Linked DNA regions of Arabidopsis thaliana. The protein of the gene in region 2 interacts with the protein of the main gene of each other region in a pairwise test. Each region holds a gene or a part of one and is shown on either strand. Other genes may lie near its edges.

What was found.
Region 1: the proteins of RHA1 (region 2) and AT4G25400 interact in a two-hybrid assay, tested with the Arabidopsis thaliana proteins (one large-scale study listed by BioGRID).

What each region holds. Positions count from the first base shown.
Region 1 is NC_003075.7:12,976,661-12,984,557, reverse strand, and holds AT4G25400 (basic helix-loop-helix (bHLH) DNA-binding superfamily protein), read right to left. Parts: upstream 3,522-7,897; 5' UTR 3,333-3,521; coding exon 3,162-3,332; intron 2,971-3,161; coding exon 2,578-2,970; 3' UTR 2,322-2,577; downstream 1-2,321. Other genes in the region: AT4G25390 (Protein kinase superfamily protein), read right to left, coding at 5,112-7,067.
Region 2 is NC_003076.8:18,537,125-18,546,035, reverse strand, and holds RHA1 (winged-helix DNA-binding transcription factor family protein), read right to left. Parts: upstream 5,372-8,911; 5' UTR 4,940-5,371; exon of another isoform or gene 4,534-4,939; 5' UTR 4,461-4,533; coding exon 4,245-4,460; exon of another isoform or gene 4,152-4,244; coding exon 3,330-4,151; 3' UTR 3,173-3,329; downstream 1-3,172. Other genes in the region: AT5G45720 (AAA-type ATPase family protein), read left to right, coding at 1-1,131, 1,201-1,420, 1,504-1,881, 1,954-2,365, 2,444-2,507, 2,597-2,698; AT5G45700 (Haloacid dehalogenase-like hydrolase (HAD) superfamily protein), read right to left, coding at 7,840-8,658. UniProt on the Arabidopsis thaliana protein: Transcriptional activator that specifically binds DNA sequence 5'-AGAAnnTTCT-3' known as heat shock promoter elements (HSE). May be involved in general response to auxin.

The DNA.
Region 1 (7,897 bases), on a different chromosome or scaffold from region 2:
ACTTATACTATACATTACGTTAAGAAAATGGATAGAGTTTTAAAGTTATAAGAGCTGGTATATAACAGTTTATATACAGTAATATTATTACATGCGTACAACCGCAATAATGTTTGCATATTATAGTCATGATAAAACAAGTTAACTATTTATTATGTAAATTATTTTTAAGACACGTTTCTGCTATAGTTTTATTACATGAGATGCATTTTTCCTATATCCCAAAAAGTACTATCTGATAGTTTTAATCTTATAAAATTAAAATTAGAAGCACGTTGTTATATTTACGTGTATGACCAAATGTCGAATCATGTCAACTCGATGATTGTCGGAAAATATGGATTATGCAAAGTTAAATTATTCCCTATCAGGCGATCGTACACACATGCCTTGTAGGAGTCACGACTAAACTAAAGACATCTCTTTAGACTTGTATATCTGACGGTTGCGAATAGAAGCCGCTATTTCTACAGTAACAACCAATTATTTCTGCAATAAAAAGTTTTAACCAATGATTTTTTTTATTTTTTTTATTTAAGTTCGTTCAAACGAATTAAAATATGTGTTTGGGGCGAAGTATCCTAATGATGTGGTAAATTATACAATTATATATTGCTCTTTTAAATAATTGTATTGTATTTCAATAGTTATTCGTAATAGATCGTTACAACAACATATTTACAATATATCTCCAGCTAAGTTCTCTATATTGACGCTATATTATTTATTAGGGTCATCAAAATTTATGATGAACTTTAGTTCTAAATAGATATGATTTCAAAATTTAAGAAAAGAAAAAAACAAATTGTGAGTTTTAAACAGAATCACCAAATATAAACGACTTTGGCCATGTGTTAAAAGATCACATTTTCTAGACCCTACTTGGCTAATTAATTCCGCCCAAAACCCCAAAGCTGGTCACTGTAGAAAACTAAACCAAAGTTTTCTCACTCTCTCTTTTTTTTTCAACAACCAAGTTTTCTCACTCATTTTAGTTGCTGAAATTGTTTACCAAAATTTAAGTCTAAGAGAAAAGTCAACAGTTCCAGAGTTCAAATATTTAAATCGATCATAGATATGTAGCGGTTTTCAACTAAGCGGCATATAATATACATTCCCTATGTTTTACTTTTTGCATCGACTTTATAGTCATTAGCTAATTTGTGATTACAGATCTGGAGTGCGTATCACACAACCCTAATTAACCATTTTCAAGATTCAAATTTGATAATTTTGTAACAGTGCGTACACAACAAAGTAAGTTTGTAACAGTTCTTTTTGTCAACCAAAAGTACTTTCTAACAGAAACATTACATATTATTTTTAAAAAATATCCGTCGCTGATAAATTCGCAAATTGTTACTTTTAGAAAAACGAATTTCACATGTTTAGATTTCTCTGAAAAATGGTTTTTCCTTTGCCTCATGTTTCTTGTCTTTTGCATATTGCAAATCAATTTCCGACTCAAATTTTCAGTATTATATAATCTCAAAATCTGTTAATCATTTTTTTTTCTTTTTAACCATTTTGTGTATACCCATCAATCGATGAGTTTTTAGAAAGTTAATATTATTTCATTTTTCTTTTCGTGTATTCGTCCGGAAACAATTTTAGTTTGAAGGCTTATACTATCTATCAGAATTTTTGTTCAAAATACTATTCTATCATCTATTTGATGCTACTCACACCAACAATAGTAAATTAATTATACCATTAATTCTATGTGTACGAATTAAATTCCACCATTCTCTTAATTATATCCTAACTCGACAGATTACGTACATCTTCAGATAAGAATGTTATATGACTTATATATAGGAGCAGAGACGTCTAGAAATAAGAAGGCCTCATGCGGTAATCCTCAAAATAATAGTCATTGTCCCTAATGAACAAAAGATAGAGTAAACTAATATATTTTCTTGAAAGATAATTTGTTTTCATAAGATATTTAATCAAATTTTCAAAATGAAGATTTTTTTCTGTGAATAAACAAGATAGTCAAAACATCAATGATAAAGAAAAAGTTTAGATGGACCATAGTTTATATAATATGTAAGAGATGGTTGTGATATTAAAGCTAGCTAGCATTAGTTTCTTACGCACAAATTCTTTAAAGTAGCTAGATAAATACACAGTAAAAGTACTAAGAACCATATATATACATCGTTTTGGTTTGAGAAGTTAAAAGGAATCTACTGAAAAAAAACGTTTGATTATTTGAATTACTTCATCAGGGTAAGTGTATCCTTAAGGTCTGCTAAGTCGATCAAAGCCAGATCGTTGACCTGCAACATAAGGCAAATCAACTTCACATATTAACTCAACATAAGGCAAATCAACTTCACATATTAACTCAAACATATATATTCATTACTCTGATACAATAAGCCATTCCAAAAAGCTATGAAGAAGATGTATGCTATATTCTATATTCCATTCCAAATTAGGACATAAACGCGTTTGTAAGCCGACAAGATCGAAAACATTAACAAAGTTAGAAATATATGTTATGATTAAGTATTTCTCTATATTCTTAGTAAAGTTAGTTAGAAATATATGTTATGATTAAGTATTTCTCTATATTCTTAGTAAAGTTAGTAATGCTTCGATTGCTGTAAAGTTAGTAAGCTCGAGATATTGTACCTCAGCCTGTAGAGTATGAATGAGTCTATCATTTACACTGGAACAGATGTAGCCAAGAACATAGAGACCGTGTTCACGAAGCACTTGCAGAACGCTTGAGAATGGCGTTTGGAGAATGCTCAACACTATCTCTATGCCGACCAAACACGGACGAATCACGACATGATTCGAAATCTCATTCCATTCTTGTTCATTACTACTCCTAAAGCTTCGTCCAGACAATAACACGAGGTCATCTCTCTTGGAATTTATGTCTTTGATATTCCTTTGCAAATAGTCTATGTAATTCACTGCCCCTTTCACCTGATCTGACGTTGAACGTTTTCCCTACAAAACCAAATCAAACGTAATTAAGGTGTAGAGGTCAACTTGAGATATTGTGATGATAGAGTGTTAGAGTTCTAGTGAATCTTTTTAACAAACTAAGCGACAAAGCATACTTGTGGACTTTTTCCTTAACAAAAAAAAAAGAAGAAGAAGAGGAAGAAATTAAAAGCAAGAGTAATTAGGGTTTTGACCTGGATGAACTCTAAAGGGAGAAGAGAGCGGAGAGACGCGTAGAGAGAAGCCATTTCTTGTCTCCTTCGTTTCTCAATTTCTTTATGTACTAACTTCTCCATGTTTTCTTCGTTATTACAAACTCTCGGCGTTTTACTACGCCTTCTTTTCTTCTCCTGAAAATTATTCATCTAGAAGTCGTTATACGTTAATTATTTTGAACAACGATTCTTCTTGTAATTATGATTATAATAATGATGATGATGATGAGACAGAAGGATCTGATCTTGTGCTCTGGGATTTGCTCTAGTCAGGGATTTGTTGTAAAGTTGAATAATATGGGAGTCGGAAAAAAAAAAGATATGGGAGTCGGAAAAAAGATAGTAAAAGGGTTTGGTTATAATATTAAAAACTAAGAGAAAAAAATACTAAGTTATTGGTAGACGTATCGGAAAAAGATGGAGAGAGAGGTTTGTTAGGGTAAGCAATGACGTCTTTCTGCTTCATCATTAATTTCTTCTCTTTTTAATAGGTTCCCTTCAACATTCCATATCTTAATATTTATCATTTTTAAAGTATTCTTTAGAGATCGTACAATTTATATGTTTATTTTCTTATTGTATACACATACTATATGATATATCAATTGTACGACGATCTACTATATATCCTAGATATCTCTGACATAGGTACCATATAATTATTTTTATATATACTATAGACTGCAAGGCCATATGCTGGATCGTATTCCTAAAAATCATTGAATAGCACTTTAAATTATGAGAAAATATGATTTATTTTATGTTATAAAATATATAGGAAATAATGTACTATAGTTTATAAGAATTAGTTACTGCTCTTTTTTTGTCAACTGGTATTGTATTAAGAGACGATTGTTTGATACAACACATACCCACCAAAGAGGTGAAAGAGCCAGACATATGAAAATGAAACAACATCCTCAACCTTTACTCAAGCCATACTACCATCAAAACTCAAATTTAATCAGAACACAAAGCCCTTTCCTCAGCAAATACACCATCGATCGAGCCAAGTAGGATGACTAACCGCCACATACGATTGTAACATGCACTCGTATAAGCAATGATATAAGTCATTGTTTCTAGTCGAAAGCAAATGATTTTTGTTGTTGTTATTATTTAAAATATTGAAAAACACTTAAAATGAAAAACAAACCAACATTCTATAACGCCTTGCATTTATTCATTAAAAACTGTTGCATTTTCAATTTGTTTTCTAAACATTACAACAACTTTTTGAAAAAATGCAGAATACTATGTTTTATGAAATGTTATAAGGGATTTCTTAATCCGAAAATAATTAAGTAGTAGTAAATATTTTAAACTGTTTATGTATGATTTTTTTTTTAATAATTGAGTTTCATCTGAATCTGATACATTTAAAAATAAAAAGCATGCATGTTCCAAATATCTAGTATTTTTAAAAAACTGGGCCAAATTATGGATAGACCATACTCTATATAAGGGCCAAATAATAATAAGAAGAAAAATTCAATAAATCTTGGTGATTTTAAGTAGAAACGAATAAGAAAAATCGAAGATGGCCCATGTCCATATATAAAGAACACAAACTGCTGACTCCTAACGTGACCCAATTTGGTATCTTCATTTCATTTAACTCGATTGGAAGTGGTTTGTTAACTGATTAGGCCCATAGGATTTGTGTGACCTTTAAATGACTTTTGGAGGTGGAAAAAGTTTTAGCCTTTTCTTTCTGCTAATAATCCAATCCCGAGCAACTCCGATTTGAAGAAGTGTTGTATGACATATTGACATCGAAGTATAAACGTGTAAAAAAAAAATCAATGTCAATAATGCGTGTGAAACTATAGAAAGAGAAATTGGAAAGTATAGTGAAATTGAATCAAAGTTCCTAAAACTAGCGGTGTAACACTTGAATAATAATAATCAAAATGATTCCTAAATTAGTCAACGGCGCTGCTTCCTCGTTGTCTTTAATGGTGGCGATGGTGAGAACTCACTAGGCAACTCTGGTAGATTCACTTCTCCTTTAAGCATTCCCAAGACCTCTTTCATTGACGGTCGTGAAATCGGTAATCTTTGCAGACACAACAAAGCCACCTTTATGCACAACACTGCTTGTTCTTGGTCTAAGTTTTGCAACTTTTGATCCACAAGATCAACAAGTTTTCCTCTTCTCGCCAACTTCCTCGCCCAAGACATGAGGTTTGCCCGTTGTATCTCACTCGCGGAGCCCGTCATCTCCAACGGGCGCCTCCCGGAAATCAGAACTAACAACAGAACACCGTAGCTATAGACATCACATTTCTCTGACACGTTGTTGTCCAAGTTACAGTACTCAGGAGCTGCATAGCACACAGTCCCTCTCATGCTCGGCGTGCTACTAATTCCGCAGCTCTTAGCTATCTCACCGCTCACCGAGTCATGGCTATTTCCCCTTGCTCTCAACCATCGTTCACCACTTAACCCATCTAACCACCAATCTATGCTGCTACCACTACCACTACCACGCCGCCATTGACTCACACTACTACTCCCATCATCACTACAAAACTCGGCTTCTAAAGTCATCTTCTTCTTCTTCTTCCTTTTCTTAGCGAGTTCTCTACGATACTCATCTTTCCACCACTCTCTAACCATCCTCCGCTTCTTCTTCTTCTTATTCTCATCCTCTTCCTCCAATGACAACCACCAATCTAGTCTCTTGCTAGTCTTCTTCTCAAGTTTCTTACTTGACGAAGAAGACAAAGCTGCCGCCTCAATCCAATCACTTCTGCTTGGTCTCTCCTTCTTTACCTCTGAACCAATCCATTGCATTACATACTCTTTCACTCTCCCTCTTTCAACATTGCTCTCCTGCTTCCACCACCAATCTTTGCTCTCACTCTCTTTCCCCTTCTTCATCACCACAACACTACCACCATCCTCATCCGTTTTCTCTCCCATTTCCGGAGAAACAGAGACAACCGTCGTCGCCTCAGGAGAAGCACTCACAGACCCAGGAACCTTAGCAACACTCTCCGGAGACTGATCAACCAACCCAAAGTTAAAATCTTCATAACCAGTCACAGTAGTTACCACACTCTCTACTTCTTCAACCATAGATCCATCACCATCACGCTCCGGAGCTACACTAATCTCCACTTGCTCTGCTTTCAACCTAGCCAAACCAAAATCAGCGATTTTGGCAGAGAAGAGACTATCTAATAGAACATTGCTAGGCTTAATATCACCATGAATCACAGGTGGTTCAAGACTATGAAGATGCTTAATCCCATCGGCAATGTTAACGGCAACCAAAAACCTCCGATTCCAATCCATAAGCTCAGGGCATCTCCGGTGAAGCAAGGCGTCTTGGAGATTACCATTGTCCATAAGCTTGTAAACAAGAAGCAAACGTCGTCGTTTTCGATCATGAGAGAAACCAATAACAGGGACAACGTGAGGCGAGTCAAGCTTGGCGGCGAAGAACAACTCGTTCTGAAACTCACCTTCTCCTTGAAGAGATCCTGAATCCATTACTTTAACAGCTACATTCTCGCCGCCGGAGATAGTTCCACGAAACACGACGCCAAATCCGCCCTGACCTAGTCTATTCGCCTGCGAGAAAGAACCGGTGGCGCGACGGAGAGACGAATATGAAAACTCACGTGGCGACGGTCTCCGAGGCGAAGAGGAAGCGTTTTCCGCCGGAGGTGATGAACGTTTCCGGCTGAATTTACAGAAACAGACGGAGAGAGTGATGAAAAGAGAGAAACCGGCGCCGGCTCCAGCCACCACGAACGGTGGAAAGATTCGCGTTGTCTTATTCTGATGTCCTGACGGCGCTGCTGGGACTAAAGAGGAAACGATCGGAGCCGGAGCAAGAACCGGAACCGGTGCCGAGATTGATCGTGACGGCATAGAGATTTAGTAAACCGAAGCTGAACCATACACAGAGGAGATTTTCAAAGACAAATTGTTGCTTTTTGTGTTTGTTTCAGTTTTTAGACTAAAATCGGAAAAGAGAGAAAACGTTTTGAGCTGTTGCGGAAATGGAAAATAAATTTCTATACATTTAATTGATCATTGATTAAATCATTACATCATGGTTTATAACGTGTTAAGGTTGCGAATTTTGATTGGTTAAACCGAATGAATACTAATCCAAAGTCCAAACACACAGACAAATCCAAAACCTGTTATTCTTTCTATATCAAACAAGAACCATAGAAAGAATAACTGACCAATATTTTATTTATTTATCGTTTTTTGAATGAGAAAACTCAAATTCAAATTCAGACGAAGCCAAAACATATACCCGGATAATGAAACCGGAACCGGGTTAGACCCACGTGAAGATTTAAATGCTAGACTGTTGTTGCGTGGCTTTTTGATAGACAATAAATAATTTAATTAGTAACGCGTTTAGGTGTAATTTGATAATGAAACTAAACAAGGTATTCCAAATTCACGTGCGGTGGTGGGGAGGCCATCAAAGATCACCATGTGGAATTGTCTAATTTGGTATTTTACTTGAAACTAATTAATTACTCCTTAAGATAGTGAAAACGGCACGCAACTCTTTTCTGTATTTAGAAAACGAACCGACGTTTTAGAAACTACCAGGAAGCTGCTGTTGTCTAAATTATCATCAAGTTGGATTAGTTATTTATTTGGTTTGTCTTTTTTTTCTTACATTAGTCAACGTTTTTCTTTATTGGATTTATGACTGTTCGAAGAGGATTAAACAC
Region 2 (8,911 bases):
GTTAGAGACAATGCTGCTGGTAATGAGAGTGAGATGTCTATTGCTTCTAACTCAGTGCCTCGTGGTGAGAAGTATGAGGGAGAAGAAGGAGGAGGAGGAAGAGATAGAGAACAGAACATGAGTTGTGGAATACCGTTTAATTGGTCAAGAATTCATCATAGAGGCAAAACTTTTCTTGATATAGCTGGTAGGAGTTTATCTTGTGGAATATCTGATTCAAAGGGAAGGAAAGGCGAAGCTGGTACGCCGATGTTTTCTGATTCAAGCTCTTCTGATCGCGAGGCGTTACCTCTTTTAGTCGATAGCGCAGACAATGAAGAATGGGTGCATGATTACTCAGGCGAGTTGGGTATATTCGCTGACAATTTGCTCAAGAATGGAAAAGATTCAGTCATTGGTAAGAAGAGTAGCCGTAAAAATACTCGGTGGCATCAAAGTTTTACGCAGAAGTACGCTCCAAGAACATTCCGGGATCTTTTGGGACAGAATCTTGTGGTGCAGGCTCTGTCTAACGCTATAGCTAAACGAAGAGTTGGACTTCTTTACGTATTCCACGGTCCAAATGGAACCGGAAAAACATCTTGTGCTCGGGTATTTGCTAGAGCTTTGAACTGCCATTCTACGGAACAATCAAAGCCTTGCGGTGTATGCAGTTCTTGTGTTTCTTATGATGATGGTAAGAACCGGTACATTCGAGAAATGGGTCCTGTAAAAAGTTTCGACTTTGAGAATTTGCTCGATAAAACGAACATTCGTCAGCAGCAAAAGCAGCAGCTTGTGTTAATATTCGATGATTGCGATACTATGTCAACAGATTGTTGGAATACGCTATCGAAAATAGTGGACCGAGCACCTCGTCGTGTGGTTTTCGTTCTTGTATGTTCGAGTCTTGATGTTTTGCCTCACATTATCGTTTCGAGGTGCCAGAAATTCTTTTTCCCTAAGCTCAAAGACGTAGATATCATCGATTCTTTGCAACTTATTGCATCAAAAGAAGAGATTGATATCGATAAAGATGCGTTGAAGCTTGTTGCTTCGAGATCAGATGGTTCCTTGAGAGACGCGGAAATGACTCTAGAACAGCTGAGTTTGCTTGGAACAAGAATCTCTGTTCCTTTAGTTCAAGAAATGGTAATGATCAAAAACATTTCTATATTTTCCATTGGCATTGTTCTCATTATGTTCTTGTTTTCTTTTCAGGTTGGGTTAATATCTGATGAGAAATTAGTTGATCTTCTTGATCTAGCCTTATCCGCGGATACTGTAAACACCGTAAAGAACCTAAGAATAATAATGGAAACCGGCCTAGAACCATTAGCTTTGATGTCACAGCTCGCAACCGTCATAACCGATATCCTCGCGGGAAGCTATGACTTCACTAAAGATCAATGTAAAAGAAAGTTTTTCCGGCGACAACCACGTGAGCTTTTCAAACATTTCCATCATCCAAAATGAGAAGTATTTGTAACTGTAATAACCGATTTTTCTTTTCCGTTGTTCCAGTGTCTAAAGAAGATATGGAGAAGCTGAAACAAGCTTTGAAAACACTATCTGAATCAGAAAAACAGTTGAGAGTATCGAACGATAAACTAACTTGGCTCACTGCTGCATTGCTACAGCTAGCTCCTGATAAACAGTACTTGCTTCCGCATAGTTCTTCTGCTGATGCTAGCTTTAACCATACTCCATTGACGGATTCGGATCCTTCGAACCATGTTGTAGCCGGAACAAGAAGAGATGATAGTAAGCAAGGTTTCAGCTGCAAAAACCGACCTTCCGTTGAAGATATTTGGTTAGCGGTTATCGAGAATGTTCGAGTTAACGGCTTACGAGAGTTTCTTTATAAAGAAGGGAAGATCTTTTCGATTAGTATCGGCTCAGGTAAATGCATAAACGTAGTAGAACATTGTTCATATTGAAAACAAAGCTTTTCTAACTTCGTAGTTTTCGCAGCTCCTATGGTGCAGTTAATGTTTAATTCGCCAATAGCGAAATCAACGGCTGAGAATTTCGAAGAACACATTTTGAAAGCGTTTGAGGCTGTTCTTGGATCTCCAGTCACGTTAGAGATGAGAACCGAGTCGAAGAAAGACCTCGGTTTCTCGTCATTACAAGGTTTAAGCAACGGTGAGAGATTCCGTGAAAGCGGAAGAAGCGAAATCGTTGAAGTGGCTGACTCTGAATCTCCAATGACTCGAGTTAGAAGGAAACACTTGGAAGCAAGTCAAAACCAAAACCAAAATCAGAACCAGAGCATTGTGAGAGGAAAAGTTTCGTTGGCTCAAGTGATTAAACAAGCTGAAGGAAACAGTTGGTCGAAACACAAAGCTGTGGAGATTGCAAATAAGCTTGAACAAGAGAATTTGTAAGAACAAGATTAACCAAAACTTGTTCCTAAAATTTTTTTTTACAGTTTTGTTTGATAATTCGTTGGTTTTTGCAGGAAACTTGAACCAAGATCAAGAAGCTTGATATGTTGGAAAGCATCAAGAAGCACTCGTCGCAAGGTAAACACATTCAATTTCTCTCTATTCTTTATATATATGACTCTGTTTGTTGTCTTTGTGATTGAAAAATTGAAACTTTGAAATTGTAGCTATCGAGATTGAAGGTGAGAACAAGGAAGTTACGATTACATTCGTTGTTGAAGCTTGTCTCTTGTGGGAAATGTCTATCAACGAGATCTCCTCCTAGATAGTTTTGTTTCTTCTTCTTATTTTGCTTTACTTCTTTTCTTAGATCATAATGTAATCTTTGTAGCTATAGAAATTTTCTTGAATCTTTGATCAAGAAATCTTTATTTAGCTAAATAATTATGAGTTTTTATTTTTTATTAGGGCATGACAAAATTTCTTGCATTTTGTATTATTTTTGATGAAATAGTTGTCAGATAACTCAAAACCAATTGTTTCATTGATCTCCTTCGTTGGTTTGTTTGGTCCATCATTGAGTATATAGTTAATAAGAGTTCTATGAACATCAAATCCGATGTCGTCCAGCGGTTAGGATATCTGGCTTTCACCCAGGAGACCCGGGTTCGATTCCCGGCATCGGAGCTTTTTTAATTCTTTTTAGAATTTTGTTGTTTCTTTTCCTAAACTCTGTAACTCTCTCTTTGTTCATATGTTTGCTACAAACAAAACTGACTCTGTAAATTATATAACTGAAATATGAAGGCAAAGAAACCAATTCTGCATATGCATTTATGTCACTCCTGCCTCAAACAATAGAGAGATTTGTTTTTACAGAAACAGAGTAATAAATAATGAACACATACAATAATCTCAGTGGAACCAAAAGAAAACTATTTTACAAAAACCTCATTCATGTCAAGAAGCTTTCTCTGTAATGTTATTTACATTCCCTGAATTCCACCAATACGTCCTTTGATTTCCAATCTTATTACCATTATTATCATTACCGACATCTCTTCTCTCTGACTGAACTTCTTGTTGCTCGGTTGATCCAGGGTTCTCTGTCAAACATTGTTCCCAAAAGTCATCGTTAACGCCTGTTTTTGGAGCAGGCGCAGTAACGGTAACGGGCGGCTCTGAGTTCATATCAATCTTCGATGATTTGGGTCGTGTATCGCCAATACTTAGACTTGACTCAGCTGCATCATGATCCATGCTTGATGACTGCAAACCGCTCTTCTCGCATGATTCCGATACAAGATTCTCCCAAAACGTTAGCGAAGATTCTAACTTTTCGACCTGTTCTATGTGTGAACTGCTTGGAGGAAGAGAGTTCTCTTGAAATCTTCTTTTTCTTCTCTCATGGTTTTCGAGGTTTAGTGAAAGTCCTGGTTTTCCCAAAACCTGTGAAACATATGCCACTATTGATTTCTGATGTTGTTCCATATGTTGTAACCGATCTTTCAATGTCGTTACTTGCAGCTCAAACTCTTTCCGTTCTTGCTCTTGGTTCTGTAACTCCGCAAGAAGGCCTTCTTTCTCATTTTTCAGTCTTTCTATCTGATCCTCCATGCTCCGTCTTTCTGATTCCGTCAAAGGATTTTGCGCTTGTAGATTCACTAACGAGTGGCTATGAACCGGTTTTCGTCTATGAATGTTCTTCATAAGGTAAGGTCGACCTCTAACAAAATCATCATTCAAGAATTCCCATTTCTCAGGATCTACTTTTCGAAAACCCTACGCAAACAAAAACACAAAAAGGTTGTTAATCTTAGCGATGCAGCAAACACCAATCCCCAAAGAGATGAGATACAAAGACAAAAGCTTTACATATGTATTAAGCTGACGGATGAAACTTGAGAAATTCTTATGCTTGAAGAATCTCGGAAGAAGGTCTCTTGAAAACTCTGCTGGATTCTTGACGATGAAGCTTTTGTTGTTTTCGCTCCAAGCAACGACCGAGTCAGAAGAAGAATCATCAACCATTTCATATGTTTTAGTAAGGAAAGGTGGAAGTGAGCTTGAACCTCCATTATTTTCATCCATACCTTAACCACTTCGAATCCAAGACGTTTAAAACCAAACCCGAACAAAAAGTCCCTTGATTAAGTCTTATAGTCTGTTGGATAGAACAAGAAGCTGAAATCAAACTCAACTAGAGAGACTCATTGAAAACATAAACATTTAATTGCAACAATTCCAGTTTAAGACACAACTGTCAAGTGTTTGAATCAATATACGAATCGATCTCTCAAGCTTTAAGAAGCAAAGTAATAAATGACAATAAAAACCAAGACTTTTCCCTCACAAGCTTCGAAATTTATTGAATGGGAGAAACTAAAAAAGTCAAAACCCCTAATTTAGCTCCAAATCTATCCGAATCCGAAATAAGGGCAACACGAGAGAATGAATGAACCAAACCCTTTTGCTTCTACAACCAAATGATTGAAAATCAGAGAGAATCAATCAAAAATTCGAACATTTCTTGTCCTTTAATGTTTCTGATTTGGAATCATCAAACGTACCAGATGATGAGTGGAGAAGATTTCAGATTTGACTCGATCCCGATTGACGCAAATTGGGAAACAATCTTCAAAAGTCTCTTTGATTTGATTGATTAAAGGAACAAACTTTCTTACAAATAAGAATTGAGAGAACGTAAAGCAAAAGAGAAAATTTTCGAAAATTTGAGGATTGAAGGAAAGGTTTGATTTGGCTTCCAAGACCAAAGGGTTGATGGAAGCGCGTATGAATGGCAACAACAACTGTTGTGTCTAAAAGACGGGTTTGGTGGTTTATTATTATCAATCAACTCTCTTTTTCTTTTCTTTTTAATTTACCAAATATAATTTCATATAATTTGACCCAAAAAAAACATAATAAATTTGTAATGTTGTTGATCATTTTGACTTATGAAGATTGATCAAATTAAGAAAAATATGATGTTGTAGATTATAATAGGGAGAAATACAAATGAGAATCTATTTGTAATTTCTTTTAACTTCATTTTATTTTGAAAGTTGATTTCCATTACCAGTTCACTTCACTTCTTCTCCAAAAATTATTAGCGACTAAAACAAGAGAAACATCCTCCTTTAGATTCATTCAAAAATTTATCTAATTTTTTCTTAATTTTACATTCATCGAGTTTTTCTCTCTTCACAATTATTGTGGCCTCTTCCTCATCAAAATCAACAAAAGCAACTCCTAACAAAACAAAACAAAATAAAAACATTTGTAAACATTGTTTAATTTAGAGAACTTGCAGTTTATGGCAAAACATTTTTAGTGAAAATGTGTTATATATTGCCATTTTAATGTGTTGGTTATTATTCTATCCATCCATCTACAAAATATACATTATAAAATATTGGAAGTCACATACCAATTTATCATGTCCAAGTTTTTTCAATCAACAATGAATGAATGTATATTCTTGTTATTTACCAAATAAGTAAATGACTAAAATATTAAGCCTAATAAAATGATCTACATAAAATCCCTATATCTCTAACGAATGGTTTATTTTAGCTCAATACAACTACATATTTGGTTGAGTTGGTGTACCTTCACAATTAGCGATACATCGTAATGCGTCATATCTAGTCCCTTCGTCAATAGATCCAACCTTAAATTGAAGCTCCTCTTTCTGCAAACAATAAAATCCAATCAAGTCTTTTATAAATTTTTAATATACGCAATAACTTCGTCTAATATGTGTAGTTATATTTATGTTTTGTTGTACAAGTTTCTTACAAAAAGTAAAACCATTTTTCCAAAAACTAGGAAACTATAAAAAAAATTGAAAGTTTGAAAGTTGGTGATAGATGATCCAAACGAAATGTGATTGCAACTTAGTCGCTTGCTCATCAACCTCTATTTATATAGGATTATTGTAAACACAATTATTAGATATGCATTATGTAGTCTCAAAATAATTTGACATATAGTAATATTATATAATTGAGCTTTCAACATATGTTAAGATTTTACAATATACATATCTTAAAGATCTCTAAGAATATGTCCCAAAAGCCAAGTATTATAATAATTAAAACTTTAAATGGATATTAAAAATAAACATTGTTGTCCTCAAATCATGGTATAGTAAAATTTCTATAAATTAATACTCGATAAATTAATAATCTATATAAATTAAAAAATTCTTCCGATGCAAGTTGGAACCAATGTAGAATTGACACAAATCGATAAAACAATAAGATAATAAATTTTTGAAAATGTTATGTTAAAATATAGCCTTATCATTTATCATAAATTAATAATTGTATAAACTTATCAATATATATATATATGATAGTAATTTATTTATATATATATGTCATATATAGATTACTATAATTATATATAAAATATTTTAATGAAATTATGACTCTAATGTTGTTCATTTTTCTTATATTTGGATTATTTTTTGGTACAATTCATTTTTAAAATTTTTACTATATCAAAAAGTTTGTATTGTTTTCTAAACTTCATAATTAATTTTCTTTTTATAATTGGTTTTAGAAAAATATTGATTATATTGAAACCTGCTTTCAGATATAATTTTGTAAGAAATTAAAAAAATTAGTAAAATCTCTCCATAATTTAGTAATTATATATTAATGGAATTTCTAGAGAATTTACTGTAGTTTAAAAAAAAAAATCAACTTTCATTAACTTGGATCAATGTAATCTGAGTGCAACTCATTGGATATACAAGAAGGAATATGAAAATGAGATATGAAGTCTGAAACTTCTGTTTGTTGTTTCTTCGCTAAAATGTCTGCAGGTTTGATTTGTTGCTCCTAGTGTCCAATTGTCAATTGCTCAAATATTCTCTCCCATGCTCTTCTTTCATAGGTCCAGTTAACCAAATCAAATCTTGAGCTGCCTCCATTCAAGCTATTGACTAGATTTTTGCAGTCTCCTTCAAAAGTCAATTTCATGTAACCTCTTATCCATAACTTTTGTATTGCAATGATAAAGCTTTGACATTCCGCTTCTAAAGTGATCCAAAAAAATATTTAAAATATATTGATTGATCTTTTTTTGTTTTCTTTGTAATTATTCAAAACTACTGTTTCATAATATGGCTTATTAGTAAACAAAAACAACTTAAAAGTTTTGATATGTAAACACACCATTGAACAAAAAGCCCAATAAAGGCCCATAATTTAACTCTACCCACACAAAAAGTTCTCGATCTTGTCAAACTCAGTCCACTGTTCAAATTCAAAATCTTCATTAAAAACCCATTGATTCAATCACAAAGAAAAACACTAATCAAACAAATTAACAAATTGCTTATCACGAGGATGTTTTACACAAAGACAGATCGAACAAACAAAGCTATTGTTCATCATTGTCTACTTAATCAAATCCTCTTAATACAAGTAAAATCAACTAAACCGAAATTAACCAAAAATCATTCATCTCTTCCAACAAACTCCTTCAAAGCAACTCTCATATCTTCAAACTTGACACAATCACCATACAAAAACTCACCAAGTTTCTTCAACTCAACATCTTCCAAATCATCAGAAAACGGTTTAATCGGAAACGCATTCTCCGGTTGAAGCGCGTACGAGTTCGGATTATCATCAACAATCACCACGCGCCTCAAATCTCTCATCACAAACCCTAAATCCTTCACTAACCTCCCATCAATTTCGCTACACGCGTCTCTGTAAAAGCTACGCGATATCACGCGCCGCTCTGGATCCAATTTATCGAGCACTAACGACGCGTACTCTCTCAATCCCGCCGTGAAAACAACGATCTGGTACTTTTCTCCGATCTTCTTCAAAAACTCGTCGACTCCTGGCCGTTTGATCACGAAAAACGTTAAGATCTGACCGTCGATTTTGGGATTCACGACGAAATCATACGGTACTTCTGGTTTCTCCATTGATGAATGAACAAGAGTTTCGTCTAGATCTAACACGATCGTCTTCTTCGTCTCGTCGAATGATTTACCAGATCTTTCGTGAAACAATGAATACGGAGAATTCTGAAAATCTTCGCGAGGTTTGAGGATTTTGAATCCTTTTGTTGCGTGACGAGAAAACAAACAGAGAAAAGTTCGATGACATCTGTAGATCGATTTGTTGATGGTGGCGATTACGGTGGTTGTGGCCGGAGACGGTGAGCATCCGATCTGAGATTTCCGGTGACGGCGGAGGTAGTTACGTTGGTGACGGCTGATGGATTTTGTCGTTTTCTTGAGTATGAGTTTCGTCGCCATTGAAGAAGAAAGAGAGAGATTAGAGTTTGCGAGATTTTTGGGAGAGAGAGGAGAGTGATGATGTTGTATTTAAATTAGGATCGGTGTAACGGTCATGTGTTTATTTTAGGTTCGGAATCCGAAGCAAAGCTTGATTCGGAAGCAGTTTTTTTTTTTTTTTAAAGTTTGGACCTACACGGAGTTTACGTTGTATTATTACCGTTGGGAATTCTATATTAATCTCGAGATTCATTTCCTAAATTAAGAAACAAAA